2 linked regions of the Rhinolophus ferrumequinum genome follow. The protein of the gene in region 2 interacts with the protein of the main gene of each other region in a biochemical or structural test. Links are inferred from orthologs where the notes say so. Each region holds a gene or a part of one and is shown on either strand. Other genes may lie near its edges. The genes, in order: DEDD2 and CFLAR.

The links.
Region 1: the proteins of CFLAR (region 2) and DEDD2 form a complex in vitro, tested with the Homo sapiens proteins (2 studies listed by BioGRID). The link is inferred for Rhinolophus ferrumequinum from reciprocal best matches to the Homo sapiens genes CFLAR and DEDD2.

Annotation. Positions count from the first base shown.
Region 1 is NC_046298.1:40,129,742-40,137,948, forward strand, and holds the start of DEDD2 (DNA-binding death effector domain-containing protein 2), read right to left. Parts: upstream 3,177-8,207; 5' UTR 2,744-3,176; intron 2,020-2,743; exon of another isoform or gene 1,861-2,019; intron 1,262-1,860; exon of another isoform or gene 1,252-1,261; 5' UTR 1,214-1,251; coding exon 886-1,213; intron 1-885. Other genes in the region: ZNF526 (zinc finger protein 526), read left to right, coding at 5,711-7,738. UniProt on the Homo sapiens protein: May play a critical role in death receptor-induced apoptosis and may target CASP8 and CASP10 to the nucleus. May regulate degradation of intermediate filaments during apoptosis.
Region 2 is NC_046291.1:30,189,338-30,197,259, forward strand, and holds the start of CFLAR (CASP8 and FADD-like apoptosis regulator), read right to left. Parts: upstream 3,096-7,922; 5' UTR 2,678-3,095; intron 1,704-2,677; exon of another isoform or gene 1,121-1,703; intron 958-1,120; exon of another isoform or gene 886-957; intron 811-885; exon of another isoform or gene 658-810; intron 51-657; 5' UTR 13-50; intron 1-12. UniProt on the Homo sapiens protein: Apoptosis regulator protein which may function as a crucial link between cell survival and cell death pathways in mammalian cells. Acts as an inhibitor of TNFRSF6 mediated apoptosis.

The sequences.
Region 1 (8,207 bases), on a different chromosome or scaffold from region 2:
GGGCATCAACTCTAGATACAAGCCAGCTGGGTTTGAATTCTAGCTCCCACTTTCTAGCTATGTTATCTGCAAGCCCCTGTGATGTGGCTTCTCATCTCCTCTGCCCTTGCTTTGGTCCCGTCTGCTCGCTCCTGCCACACTGGTTTCTGATGATGCCAAACTCATTCCTGCTTCAAGGCTTGAAAGCTTGCCTTTCCCTCTCCCTAGAATTTTTCTCCTCTGAGATCTATGCACAGTGGCACCAGTTCAGCCTCAGTTCAAATGTCACATTCTCAGAAAGGTCTTGACTGGTTATCCAATCTAAGGGGGCCTCCCTTCACTTAGTGGAGCTCCCTACCCTCTATATTCCATTACCTTTTTTTTAGTCTTTCTACAACCATATGTAAATTGTTTATGTTTTAATGTCTGATTCCCCCACTAAATGTAAGCCTCATGGAACAAATACTTTGTCAGATGGTCACCCTGTATCTCCTGTGCCGTCATACAGGATTCAGTTCTTATATATGGACAAGTTGCTTAACTTCTCTACATCTGATGTTTTCCCTGTACAGTGGGACAGTAACAGGACTTCCTCATGGGATTACCAGCAGAATACAAAGTGATAGTTCGTATGAAGGGCTTATGCTGTGCCTTGCATGAAATAAGCCCTCCATAAAGTGGTCACAAACATTATTATTGATGAGGCCAAATTCCACCAGCTCGCCCCTCCCAAAGCCATGCCTCCTCCCTCTTGCGTTTCTCATTGCTACTCTGTGAGGAGGGGAGAGTGGGGTGGGACATAGGCTGTCTGATATTGCGCTGTCCATATCAGGGCACCATAGGGGCCCAGATGGGGAAGAAGGCCCTTTAACCACCGAAGTCTCTCGCCCTTCCATTCAACCATACCTGGCCGGCGCCGCTTGCGCGCCAGGTGCGGCAGCAAGTCGTGCCGGGCCAACACGCGCAGGAGCTGCCCTAGAAAACGCAGGTTGCTCTCGTCGCACTGCCCGCGACGCTCCAGCTCCAGCAGCAGCTCCAGGCCGCTACGAGCGCGGGACAGGCCGCCAGCGGCGCCGGGAGCCTCGTCCAGCAGGAAAGCCAGCAGCTCCAGTTCACACTCGGTCAGCTGCCCGCCCACGACCTCGAACATACGATGAAGCGACAGCATCCCGTAGTAGTCCAGGCACTCATCCTCCTCCCAGCTCGGGGCAGGGGTCGACCCAGACAGCGCCATACCCGGGGGAGAGGGGCGGAACAAGCTCGAACCAGGGCCTAGAACCCACTCAACGGGGAGGGGGGGAGGTCAGCGACGCGGGGGCCTGGCCCCTTCTCCGCCAGTGTGTCTCCCCGATCCCATCCCGCGGGGCAGGGCCACCCTCACACTTCAGTCGTCTCAGCCTCCCCCTTCCCCGGAAAGGAATGGTATCGCCCTAGGTCCCCTAGTAACAGGTTGAGACGCCAGACCCCACTAGACCGATTAGTCTATCCTGCCGAGTCCGAAAGCCCCTCCCCAGGTGGAATGTTCCGAACCAGCCTCCGGAACCGACTAAGTGATTCGGTCTGAACAAGACTGCGGGCCCACCCCGAGGCACCCTGCCGACTGCCCTTTGACTCTGGGTAGCACTGTCTGGATGTGACCCTCGGCTCGGTCCAGTGGTACTGTCCGATGAGCCTCATCGCTCCACCCAATTGGTACCATCCCAAAGTGACCCTCTGCCCCCTACAAGTGGGACCGACTCTAAGTAGCCCTTCTCTCCATACAGGTGGTGCTGTCCGAACCCGACCCCCTCGCCTTGTAAGGGTGGTACCGCCCTCTCCCCAGCTCCCAGGTGGTTCCGTCTACCCGCCACCAGTCGCCCTTAGGCCTCTCTGGATCCTCACCGGAATCCGGCGTCTAACGACTCCTGGGCGACGGCCGCAGCCACTTGTTTTGGATCTTTCTGGCACCTTCTCTATTATTACGCCTGCGTCACCTCGCCCCTCCTTCCTTCCTCCAACTCGCGCAGGTGCGACCGCCACGCCCCTTAGGCGCAAGCGCAGAGAGAGGCTTTCAAGCCCCACCCCTCCAGGCCCGCCCTCAACGGTAGCGTCTGGGTCGGCCTGCGCTGCGCCTGCGCAAAGCGTGTGTTGTTCCGCGTCTGAGTTGAATTTGGTACACGGTTGCAGGGCTGTTTCTGCCGGTTCGTGACGCAAACCGCCGGGTCCTTGTTGCCCCACGTCACGACCTTTCGGAACGACTCATCTCATGGACTACAGCTCCCTCTTAAAGACGACATAGACGCCTACATTACCACTGCCCCCAGCCCCTGGCAAAGGACCACAATCATGACGGTCCTGGCTCAGAGTAGTGCCCAGGTTCTTTTGATCGGGACTCGGACGCCCTTCCATTAGACTGCTCCTTACTCCTAATGGCAACCAGGAACCCGCAACCCAGCTGTACTATCTCATGATCCCGACTAGAATCCCTCCTTGTCCAACAGACGCCCTCCCTCCCCCCCCCCCCCCCCCCCCCGCCATCTATAAGATCCTTCTGAGCAAGACAAGGACTCCCTCACCTCATGTTAGGAACCAATGTCTCCTCCCAGATGTCAGTAGGCCCCTCCAGCATCCATCATGAACCCAACTCCCCCCCCCCCATAACTCCTCCGAGTCTCTGCCCTCCAAGGTCATGGGATCTCCCAATACCCCCATCTCTAACCTGCAACTGGTGTTCAGGCTGCATGGGGGAGCCTGGGGTGTGGTGGCCACCCCGCTCCCAACTTACGTGAGTCAAGGTCAGGGCCCGCACGTGCCTTGAGACAAGTCCCCTCCTGGACTGGTTCCCACTTCCGGAATTATTTCCCCTTCGGAGGCGGGAGACCTAGGTACTGCCTGGCACTGGTTCAGCACTGGCTCTGCTTGGGCTGCAGCAGGGACCTTGGAAGAGTCCCTTCCCCTCTTTGATGGCAACTGTAACCTATTGAAGCCCAGTCCTGGGTCGAACACACAGTGGGTACCCAATCAGCTAATATCATTAAATCAACCGAAGAGTGGGAGGGAAGGGAAAGCAAACTGGGAAGGACTACGTCAATGTTAAATGAGTTATAGTGAGCACCCACGATGTATCAGGCCCTGCGCTGAGCGTTTTTATGTGTTTGATTTCATCCAATTCCATCAACAGCCTTGCACATGATTCCAGCCCATTTTACACAGGAATAAAAGGCCGAGAGAGGGGAATTACCCCAATTGTGTCTGGCTCCAAAGCTGTGCTCTCGGAGATGCTCAGTCTCTTCAGCTATGAAATGACACCTCTGATCAAGGTCTCCCGCCGCCCAGGCCACTCCATGGGCCCTTGCTTTCCAATGGTGCCCATTTCTCTCCACTTAACTTTCAGACTTAGCAGAGGAACGGCTCGGGAGAACTGCGCAAGCGCTCCTCGGAGCCGCGAGCCCAGCCCACAGGGCACAGTTGCGTGCGTGGAGAAACTCGCCTAGCCCCGCCTGAGCTTCAACACGCAGGCTCAAGGGCGCGTGCCCTACGCTGCCGGCTCCGATTGGTCGCCACGAGTAAGGGCGCCGCCCAATGGGAGGTGTGGATAGTGAGGGGTCCCGCACGCCAGGAGCAGAGGGTCTGTGTCAAGAGCGACGGGGGCTGCAGGAGACGAGAGAGACTGGTGAGGGCGCCGCGGGAAGGCAGCGCTGGGCGTACGGAGAGGGTGGAGGGAGAACGAAGGGGACACCGGGGGTTGAAGAGGACTGGGGCCTGCGCTAGGGCGGGAGCGGCGCGGAGTGGAAGGAGAGCGCTTCTTCCTAAATGCCCTGGAGCATTGATTGAGCTCCCGCGGTGTGCAGGACCCTACGCTTGAGCTCGCCGGCTCCCCACTCCTCGCAGGGAGCTCTTAGGTTGTGGAGTTGATATGTCTGGCCAGAGAAAAGGGATGTGTCGCTGTATAGCGGGAAAGTTGAACTTCCAGGCCCCTGGTGGGTTCTTTCCTGGAAGGACTTACTGATCTGCTGTATTGAAAGCCCCCATTCCTAGCCCCCAAAACTTCACAATCCAAGATTGGTAAGGAGGTAATGTAAACGAGGAAAGTTCAAATGTTAGGTCTGTCGGGACACCTTCGAGAGGGACATTTACTGAGTGCCTACTTTGTGTAAGCCTTACACCACACATTTACCTGCGTCCTAGAGGAATTCCCTGTTTGGAGTGGGGCTGTAAACAAGGAAAAATTAAACTCTCAGGCACCTGGTTCACTACTTCCAGGAAGATGCTTTATTGAATGGCTATTGTGTGCAGGGCCCTGGCAACTCAAAAATTAGTGAAGGAGTTAAGGAAAGTTTAGTTCTGGGCTTTTAGTGAATCATTTACTCAAGGAGCATTTATTGGGCACCAACTGAAAGTACGGCCCTGTGCTGGATAGTTACTGTGGGAGTTCATGCTCAAATAGGAGAGTTGGTCTGCTGGGAGAAGTGGAATGAGCACAGGAACATTTAAACTCCCAGGGACTCACTTCCTGAGGGAGCATTATCCATTCCCTAAATATCTACTCAGTGCCTGCTGTGTGCTAAGCATTGTTCTTGGTACTAGAAATATATCAGTGACGAACAGACTAAAATCCCTGACCTCTGGGAGTTTACCATGAGCAACTTTTGTGTGTCAGGCTGAACTCCACCTGCCTTCTGGCACTAGCAGATGAGTTGAAGAAGAGAGAGAGAAGGTGGAGACTGAATTCGGAAAATTAGCTCCTAGGCCTGTGAGGGAGGTAGTCATTTGCCAAAGGGACCTTGAGTCCCTGCTATGTGAAGAGTCCTAGGTTGGGTTGAGCCCACACATCCAGAAGGGCAGATGGGGCACATAGAGAAAAGTTCAAAAGTTAAAATCCTTGACACTGGTCAGTGGTTTTGTTGGTGACAGCAGCCCCTACAACGAATCTGTCTTGACTACAAGCTCAGTGAGGAGCACAGAGACTTCATCCCAAGTTCACGATAAGGGCTATGATAGAGGTGGCACAGGATACCATAGGAACTCCAAGGAGAAGGGAGTGGCCACTAGCCTGAGGATGTAGACATGTTGTCAGAAAAGGTTTCACAAAGAAAATGCTGGGGAGGAGTTTGCTAGACAAAAAGAGGAGAAACTTTCTTGGCAGAAGGAATAGCAGCATCAAAGACGTAGGGTCCAAAAGCATTTCTGGATAACTACAAGTGCTACTGTCTAACCTGTATCAAGTACCAGGGACTTCGTGGTCAGTACTACTTTTAGCCCCATTTCACAAGTGAGAAAACCGTCCCAGAGAGAGGAAGTAAGTGATGGACCTCAGATTCAGGCCAAGGGCAGTCTGGTTCCAGGACCTCAGCTCTTAATCACTTTGCTTTACTGCACCTCCGTGTCTCCGTGTAGAAGGAGGAAAGGTGCTGCACGGAGAGGGCACTGCGGGCAAAAGCCAAGAGGCCCCAAAATACGTGTGTTCTCAGAAAGGGTGTGACTGGCCCTCTGGGTAAGAAGGGCAGTATCAGAGGCCAGACTGAGGAGGGTTGTCTCTCTCCTGCAGATGCCTGGCCACCTTGGGGCATGTGTCAGCTTCAGAGTCACAGGTTCATTGAAGACTGAGACATAAACACTGGATCCAGACTCGCTGACTGATAAAGGCTGGTGAGTGACATGATGGCAAGGAAACTCCTGAGACATCCTCCCTCTCTTGGATTCCTGGTGTCTCACCAGCTCCCTTCTTTCTCCAGGCACTGCCTTCCCCACCATGGCAGAGGTGGTGGCTGAGGTGGCTGAGATGGCCGAGATGGCCACACAGATGTCCCCAGGGGCAATGGAGATGTCTATACCGGTCTTTGGGGAAATGATGGAGATGTCAACAGAGGTGACTGAGATGAAGGCTGGGGAGGCCCTTGCCTCATCCCTCTTCTTCCAGCACCACCAGTTCATGTGCTCTGAGTGTGGCAGCCTCTATAACACACTGGAGGAAGTCATCTCACACCAGGAGCAGCACGTGCCCACTGTCACCGAGGAGGAGGCGCTGACCACCCCGGATGCTGGCCTGGAGCCAGAGCTAGTGCCAGGTGCTGCGGATGGGCCCTTCCAGTGTGGTGAGTGCAGCCAGCTCATCCTCTCCCATGGTGAGCTCCTGGCCCACCAGGACGCCCACCTCCGGGAGTCTGCAAGCCAGATCCAGTACCAGTGTGGGGACTGCCAGGAGCTGTTCCCCTCACCAGAACTGTGGGTAGCTCATCGAAAGGCCCAGCACCTTTCCACTGCAGCAGCCGAAGCGCCAGTGCCACCCCCTCTGCCTCCCCCAACACCACCACCTCCACCCCCTGCTCCACCGGAAGTCCAGATGGAGCCCTACGAGTGTCCTGAGTGCTGCACCCTCTGTGCCACCCCTGAGGAGTTCTTGGAACATCAAGGCACCCACTTTGACTCCCTAGAGAAAGAGGAACGGAATGGGCTGGAGGAGGAGGAGGGGTGTGAGGAGGGTGAAGAAGAGGATGAAGAGACGGAGGAGGAAGAGGAGGCAGCAGGGCCTGCAGAGCTTGGTGGCGATAGTGTGGGAGGCGGCAAGACCGCAGCTGGCTGGGCCCAGGGCTGTGAGGATTATCCCCAGCACTGGGCCTCGGCAGGGGCGCGCCGCAGACACCGGTTGGCATCCCGAGCCTCCGCGTCAACCACCCACCCCTTCCGCTGCAGCCAGTGCCAGCGCAGCTTCAGCTCCGCAAACCGGCTGCTGGCTCACGGGCGGGCACACGTCGGTGGCACCCACGAATGTCCAACCTGCTTCAAGGTCTTCAAAAAAGCAGCCTCACTGGAGCAGCATCTGCGGCTGCACCGTGGCGAAGCCCGCTACCTCTGCGTGGACTGTGGTCGCGGCTTCAGCACAGAACTCACGCTGGTGGCGCACCGGCGGGCCCACACCAGCAACCCACTGCATCGCTGCCGCTGCGGCAAGACATTCAGCAACATGACCAAGTTCCTCTACCACCGGCGTACCCACGCAGGCAAGAGCGGGGCGCCCCCCACCACAGCAGGGGCCTCCCCGGCTGGTGCCGAGCCTCCACCCCCGCCCCCGCCCCCCGCCCCGCCCACCCAGCTGCCCTGCCCACAGTGCTCCAAATCCTTCTCCTCCACCTCGCGCCTCTCCCGGCACCGACGCACAGTGCATGGACCCCCCGAGCGGCGACACTGCTGCGGGGTTTGTGGCAAGGGCTTCAAGAAGCTGGTCCACGTGCACAACCACTTGCGGACGCACACGGGCGAGAGGCCCTTCCAGTGCCACTCCTGTGGCAAGACCTTTGCTTCTCTGGCCAACCTCAGCCGCCACCAGCTGACCCACACGGGCGTGCGTCCCTACCAGTGCCTGGACTGTGGCAAGCGCTTCACGCAGAGCTCCAACCTGCAGCAGCACCGGAGGCTGCACCTGCGGCCGGTGGCCTTCGCCCGCGCGCCCCGCCTCCCCATCACCGGTCTCTACAACAAGAGCCCCTACTACTGCGGGACCTGCGGCCGCTGGTTCCGCGCCATGGCTGGTCTGCGACTGCATCAGCGGGTCCATGCGCGAGCTCGTACGATGACACTGCAACCCAGATCACCGCCTCCCGCCCCGCCCCCGCCCCCGGAGCCTCAGCAGACTATCATGTGCACCGAGCTTGGGGAGACCATCGCCATCATCGAGACGTCCCAGCCACTGGCCCTTGAGGACACGCTGCAGCTGTGCCAGGCAGCACTGGGGGCCAGTGAAGCCAGCGGGCTGTTGCAGTTGGACACGGCCTTCATGTGACACAGCTAAGAGCAGCAATAAAAGAGTTTGGTTGCAGCAGCAAGTGTGGTCACCTGTAGGGAGAAATGGGACTACACCCTGGCAAGCCACTCTGGTGCCCACCAGGTACCAGGATGTACCCTGGCCTTACCCGCTGACTCCTCCACAGCCTGCCAGGTTTCTCTTGTCACCTTTCTCTGCCTGAGGGGAAACTGAAGCTCTGAGACAAGATCTGTCCCAGGTAACCCCACTACATTGCAAAGCAGGTTTGCCAAGGCTGTTTGCTCTGCATCACCCTGCTACCCAGCAAGCTCAGGGAACCTTTCCTGAGCCCCGGCCACTTGCCAGGTCTGTGCTGGGCACTGTTACATACCTCTTCAGGTCCTCTGCTTGTCCCCCCTGCCCTAGCCTTCCCTGGACTCGGCTCTGCCTAGTGGAGGAAGACACTTGACTGCTCTGGGCTCCCTTCATCTCACTTTTGACAATGTGA
Region 2 (7,922 bases):
AAAGGAACCCACCGTGAATTGTGAAGTCTTCCTAGAGAAGGTGACAGGAGCTGAATGTAAATGAAATAGGGCATATCAATAATAAGTGTTTCTTGCCTCACTGATTTATAGTAAAGAAAGCAAGGACCAAGTGACAGTACACGTTGACAGCTCTGTGACCTGCCATTATTTCCCCAGTCTGGCCCAACTGGTTTCTTCCTTCCCGTTCCAGTCTGTCCGTGGCAAGTTATCTGCGTAGGTCTCCCCAACCACTCTGTGAGCTTCCAGCAGGCGCAAGGAACCAAGTTCAGATCTATGCCTGTGTTCTCACACCCAGAACTCTGCCTGACCCAGAGAAGCTAAATAAATATTGGTAGGATTATCTTGAATTAAAGAAAAGGAGGCATTTCAGTACATAATGCGAGTTTAATTAGCTTTTGGGGCCCTACAAGGAACAAATAACCAAATGGAGTCCAATCCGAAAAATTTAAAAAGCTACACGCCAGGTTACTAGGAGCGCTGTGGATGAGTCCCTATGAGAGTCAAGGAAGCGCCAAAGGGCTAAAAGAGAGAGACTCAATCCTTTTATACCGGGGGACAATGCCCCGACAGCCCCGGAGTTCAGGGTGACGTCAGCACAAGAAGAAGAGGAGTAAACAAGGTTCTAGGTCTACTCACGCCGGGGCAGCTGCCGGCTCTTCCAGCTGGATCTCCACCTGCAAAGGCGCCCCACCGATGCGGGATACGATCAGACCCACCACTCCGAAAAACCGGAGTTGGAAATTCTCCAAACAGGACAAGGAACTGAACGTAGCGTCAGAGGCTGGTTTGCAGGGAGGCGTCCCGAAGCCTCTTAGGGCAGAGTTCCAATACTAAAAGCCTCCTCCAGGGACGCGCTGCTCACCTGACACTTCAGGTTTGAGAACCCTCCGCCCGTACCTTAAAAACTTCATCAGTGCACACACTCTTGTGTCTTCGGTGAGTAAACGCCCTTGGACGGGCAAGGGAGCTACGTGTAGCTCCAGGAAATTCCCTGCAGCGGGCGGTAACTGAGTGGGCGCTGCTTGCCCCACTACCTCACAGAGCGAGTGCATGACCGGTGGGCGTCCTAGTAACAAAAACACCTTCGTTTTGTTTCCAGTACTTACCGCCACCGCTATTAATAAACAACAACACACTACCCGCGACTATCCTCCCAACGCCCCCAGTCGCACAAGACTCCCAAGGGGGCAGAAGACAAGGGGCACCCAGTTCCTGCAGACCTGCCGGTGGATCCACCTAAGAAAGCGGGTGAAAAGTAGGGAGTAAAGATAGTTAAAGGAAGTGCAAATGTCAGTTACAAACAAAATGTAAAACACAGTCGTTAGAAAAAGCCATTTTAATCAGGACCTCCAACCCAGAAGCTGTAAGTAAAACAAGGGTTAAAATAAAAAAACGTCTGTTGGCCACATTCAATATTCCCTTCCAAGCTCGAGTCTTTTGTTTTGTTTTGTTGGAGTTGAGCCAAGTTTTTTTTGCTCCTCCTCTCAACGAGACTTTTTTGGTAAGATTAGAGGAACCACAAATCGGAAAATACCAAAAGTTCTGTTCCTCTTATCTGAATCTCTTACCGGAAGGGCCCAAACTGACTTCACTATCCATCCGGGTTTGTCTGTGTTCAAATACTTCAAGTATGCTATCACCTTACTGGCACCACCTCTCGGTTGCGTAAACAAGTTTAAAATGTCAACAAATAAAAACATTCGCCAGACCTTCAACGTCCTTGAACTTCTTGTTGCCTTGAACCAAAAACTTGGTCTGAATTTCAATGCCCTTTGTTCTATTGCAATCCACTGTTAACATTTTAAAACCCCGTCACCATCCAGCAACATCTTGAAAACACTTTATATTTATTTCCTAGTCCTCTTGGAGGGGAAGAGAGGAGAGTCCGGAACAAGTATTGGGTTTTTTTAAGGCTTTCTATAAATGTATCAGTCAGTCATTCTGACTTTCCCACAGCAAGCTTTCCTTGCAACTTGCCAAAAAATACTATATTAAAATGCTTTGAGGCATATCCCGCCCTACCTACTTCACCAAGCGAGTGAAATGTCCCGCCCGGCGGCTGCCTCTGCCGGGTAAAGGCGAGCGTGCACACACATTGCGCAGGAAAAAGTCCTCTTTTTCATCAACTTTTTAAAAGGAAAACTGCCAAATGTTTTGAACAGTTCACCCCAGGAAGTAACTCTCAAGATGATCTTAAGCAAAGTTTACAGGATGCTCGCGACCTGCCACCGAAGCTTGTTTCTGCTAAGGGTTATTTGGACCGGTGGATCCGGGCGCACCGAGGACCGCACTTGGGATCCGGGCAGCCTCTGACAGCCCTCTTGGGAATCCCGGTGCAAGGAGAGCGGGGCAAGGAGGTGGGTGCGGGGGTGCGTGCGGGGACGGGGGCTCCGCCCCAGCGGGCGCTCGTGGGCAAACCATGTATAAGGAAGCTACTGAACTGAGTCACCTGTCAGAAGACCCACCCCCCCATCCCGGACCCTTGCCGGGGAGCCCCCGCCCAGGGCCAGTTCCCGGAAAGTGCAGGTCGGGGAGCTGCGGCGAGGGACGGGAGAGGCGGCGCTCAGGCCCTGCGGCGACACAGACACGGAAACCTGCAATGAGACCTCTAGGACTGAGGAGGGTCGGAGCGGCGGGATTAAGCGCCTACACGTACCGTCTGGTCCACCGTGGGGCTTTCTTCCTGCAGCGAGCTGCCAGGCTTCGCTGTCCCGGAAGCTTGAGAAACGCAGTAAAAGGTAGGAAAGGAAACCGAAAGCCTGGAAGCGGACGTTGCGCTTACCGACGTGGCCTTGCGCGTGCACTTATCTTCACAACGAAAGTTGGGCGGGCTGACTGCGTTAGGGCCAGAGACCCCTTACTTACCAGCCCCCAATGAGTCCCCTTCAGTTGAAACATTCTCCTAGCCACAGCCAACCCACTGTTTTATCTTTGTATCCTTTGTGATATAAAGATCATAAAATATGCTGTGAACCCAGAATGGTTGTTTAAAGGAGTTCTGATTGTCGTTACGAACAAACACTGTTAGTGTTTTTTACTGATGTATACGAATAATAATAAATAGCAAGTGTGAAAGCTATTTGTGTTTTCATCTATTTATTACTTTGTGATTTTTTTAAAATTTAACTTAACTTGAAATAAATGTAAACTTACAGGAAAGTTGCAAGACTACCAAGAGAGTATTGACCTTGGAGAAGGAACATACCCACCAAGAAGGACTCCTACTGGTTAACTGGGCTCAAATTCATAATCAGTCTAACAGCGAATGCTGGCAGAGAACACTCATGCACTGGTTTCAGAGAAAAACCAAAGGCTGAGCTGCCAGCTTCCTGTACTGTTCCTGTCTTTTGAGACTACCCTTATAAAATCATATTTGGACCAATGGGCTGATACCTGCGCCCTCCAATAGGAACACTACACAGCTATGTCCTCATTTACATCTATACTAACCGATCAGAGTGGTTTCATAACAACCAATCAGAACACACGACCAGTGCTATTTGGACCAGTCAGACTCCAAATTTGGATTCATTTGCACTGTCTCTTTAAAAGGCAGGCCTCCCCGTCCCAGGGGAGTGCATTTACCCTTCTTCTGAGCACTGCATCTGCACAGTTTGCAAACTGTTAACTTGAATAGTGTCCTTTTTCCGCCCTCCAGATTGGGAACTCCTGTTGGTATTAGATTGCTGGCAGCTAGCTTATATCGTATCATATCTGGTCTTACATTATAGTAAAATAAGACCAGGTCTTATATTAATTTTTGCTCCAAAAGACGCGTTAGAGCTGATGGTCCGGCTAGGTCTTATTTTCAGGGAAACACGGTAACATATCTTTCCACCTGTTGCTCCAAAGCCCTAGTTCAGTGATTGTGCCTGGGGGGAAAAGCACTCCATAAAACAGATAGGTCTTAAACTCTTCCCAAAGGAACTGACTTTATTTGCAACACAACATGTTGAAATTCAAGCCAAAGGTTATTCTCGAAAACCTGGAGTTTGTGATGATAAGCAATTGGGAGGAGTTTCAAGGTGTGGGTTAAATTGTAACCTAGCTAGTTTGCAATGGAGAGCTAGAGATAAAGACAGGGAAAGCCCTCCTGGAATAAGAACAAACATTAAACACCTCATAAACTATTGTTTCAAAGGGCCACAATTTGGTTGGATTCATTTGTAGAGCAAATTATGCCAGAACATTATCGAAAATAACAGAGCAATCAGGGAGCATTTGAGATCTTGCTCCCTGGCATATGTCATCAGTTTGGCTTAACTAAACTTTTATAAAAATTTTCTAAGAAAAAAAATAGTAGAGCAATCAGTCAGCAAATGTGGAGTCTTAACAGCTGGGTGTGGTCGGGAAATAAAAGGAAGAGAGCTCCACCCAAAAACCACTGTAATAACAGGATAACAATATCAGAAATTTAACAGGAGTGGGGATAGACTTCACTAAAGTAATTTAGCAAATAAACAAGCAAAAAACAACAAAGTGAGGCTTGGGGAATGGGAGGAAACAAGTACCTAGAGTTGCTACAATATATTATCTAAAATGTTCAGTATTCAACAAAAAGTTACAAGGCATGCAAGTAAACAGGAAACCCATACACTGGAAAAATAGCAGGCAACAGAAACTGCTTGTGAGAGCAACCGGATGTTGGACTTATCAGAAAAAGAATTCATAGTAGTTGTTATAAACATGTTCACAGAACTAAAGAAAAGCATGATTAAAGAAGAAACAGAAGGTCTGATAACGTCACATCAAATAGAGAATATCAATAAAAAATATTAAGAACCTAGAGCAGGCATGTGACTGAGAAATTATAAAAATGAACCAAATAGAAATTCTCGAGTTGAAAAGTACAATAACTGAAATAAATTCATTAGGAACTCATCAATAGACTTGAAATGGCAGGAGAAAAATAAGCTAACTTTAAGATAGAGATTATGCAGGCCAAAGAACAGAGAAAAATGAAGAAAGCCTCAGAGAAATGTGGGACACCATGAAGCACACCAACATGTACATAATGAGAGTGTCAGAAGGAGAAGAGCATGAAAATGCAGCAGAAAAAATATTCAAAGACATAATGGCTAAAAACTTCTAAAATTTATTGAAAAACAGTAAATTACACATCCAAGAAGTTTCACAAATTCCAAATAAACTAAATGCAAAGAGATCTACAGACACATTATAGTAAAAATGCTGAAAGTCAAAGACAAGGAAGAAATCTTAAAAGCAGCAAGAGAAAAACAACTTATTACTTTAAGTGAATAGCAATAAGATTAATAGCTGACTTCTCAGCAAAATCAATATAGAGGTCAGAAAGCAATGAGATAACATATTCAAAGTGCTCGAAGAAAAAAAAAATTTTCAACCAAGCAAAACAAATTTATGAAAATAAGATTTGTGAAATACTTTCCCAAATAAACAAAAACTGAAATAATTTGTGCTAATATAGCTACCTTGTAAGAAATACTAAAGGAAATTCTTCAAGCTGAAAGCAAATAACCCCAGACAATAAATCAAATGCTCACCAAAAAAAAGGGCAACAGAAAAGGTAATTCTACAATTACAAGACAGTATAAATGAATATTTTTCTCTTATTCTTAACTGATTTAAAAAGCAATTGTATAAAATGATATAATATATTTTTGTGCCTATAACATATAGAAATTAATATATGTGAAATATATTTCCCAACACAAAACAGGTGGGTGGGAGCAAAGTTAAATGACTATAGCTGGCAAAGTAATAATTACAACAATCTATTGTTCGGTGTGTAACATGCATTAATGTAATATATATACAAAATACCACAAATGGGGGGAAAAGGGAATAGAGCCATCTAGGAGTAATATTTCCTTGTACTACTGGAACTGGCTAGTATAAATCTGAAGTTGCTTCTGATAAGTTAAGATGTATATGGTAAACCCTAGAGCAATTATTAAAATAATAACTCAAAAATATATAGTAAAAAATATTAAAGAAATTAAGATGATACCTTAGAAAATATTCGCTTAATGTAAAAGAAAACTTTTAATGTAGAGAAAAACACATAAGACATATAGAAAAATGTAAAATGGCACATGCAAGTCCAACTATATCAACAATCTTAAATGAAAATGAGCTAAATAATCCAATGAAAAGGGAAACTTGTTCGACTGGATTTAAAAAAAACAAAAACCTATGATCCAATTATAACTGCCTACAGGAGACACTTTCAATTCAGAGATACAAAGGGATTGAAAATAAAAATATGCAAAAAGATATAACATGCAAACAGCAACAACAAGAGAGATGGAGTGGCCATATTGATATCAGGCAGCATAGAATTTAAAACAAAAAATATTACTAGAGGTACAGAGGGACATCTTATTACAATAAAAGTGTCGATCCATCAGATAAATATAATCATTATAAACATACAAGAATTTAATAACAAAACATCAAAATACATGAAGCAAAGCTGGGAGAAATAAAGGGGAAATTATTTTCACAATAATAGCTGGAAACTTAGACACTCCATTTTCAATAATGGATAGAACAACTAAACAATCCACAAAGAAACAGAATGCTTGAGCAACACTATAAAACAACTAGACCTAACTCACAGCTGTAGAATGCTCCACACAACAGAATATACATTATCAATTATACATGAATATACACAGTGAAGTGCACAATGGAACATTCTCCAAGATAGACCAACTGGTAGGCCATAAAACAAACCTCAATAAATTTAAAGGGATAAAAACAATGTAAAGTATGTTCTCTGACTACAACAGAATTAAATAGAAGTCAATAACAGGAAAGATTGGTAAAACTCACAAATATGTGGAAATAAAACAACACACTCCTAAGTAACCACTGTGTCAAAGAAGTCATAAGAAAAACCTGAAAATACTTTGAGATGAATGAAAATCAAGTGCAACATACCAAAACTTATGGGGTGCAACTAGAGCACTGCGTAGAAAGAAATTTATAACTATAAATGCCTCTACTAAGCAAAAAGAAGAATCTCAAATTGATAACCTAATCTTCCACCTTAAGTAAGACACTAGAAAAAGAACAAACTAAACTTAAAGCAAGCAGAAGGAAAGAAATAATAAAGATTTAAAGTAGAAATTAATAAAATATAGAATAGAAAAACAATAGGGAAAGTCAATTAAACCTAAAGCCAATTTTTTTGAAAAGGTGAACAAAATTGACAAATCTTTAGCTAGATTGACCAAGGAGGAGAAAAAGACTCAAATTACTGAATCAGAAATGAAAGAGGGGATATTACTACTGATCCTACAGAATAAAAAGGCTTATAAAGGAACACTATGAATAATTGTACACCAACAATTTAAATAACCTAGATGAAATGGACCAATCCCTAGAGAGACACTAACTACCAAAACTGACTCAAGAATAAATAGACAATACGAACGATCTATGAAAAGTGAAAAGATTGCATAAGTTATTGAAAATCTACCCAAAAATAAAGCCCAGACCTAGACAGATTAACTTGTGAATTCTACAAAACATTTAAGGAAAATTAAATCTAATTCTTCATAAACTCTTCCAAATAACAGAAGAGGAGTGTATTAGTTTGCTAGGGTTGCCATAACAAAATACCATAGACTAGGTAGCTTAAACAACAGAAACTTATTTCTCACAGTTGTGGAGGCTAGAAGTCCAAAATCAAGATGTTGGCAAGTTTGGTTTCTTCTGAGGCCTCTTTCCTTGGCTTGCAAATGACAGCCTTCTGTGTCTTCTCATGTTCTTTCCTCTGTATACACACTTCTTTAGTGTCTTTCTATCTGTTCAAATATTCTCTTCTTGTAGGGATACCAATCAGATTGTATTAAAGCCCATCCTAATCGCCTCATTTTAACTTCATCACCCCTTTTTCTTATCTCTGAATATAG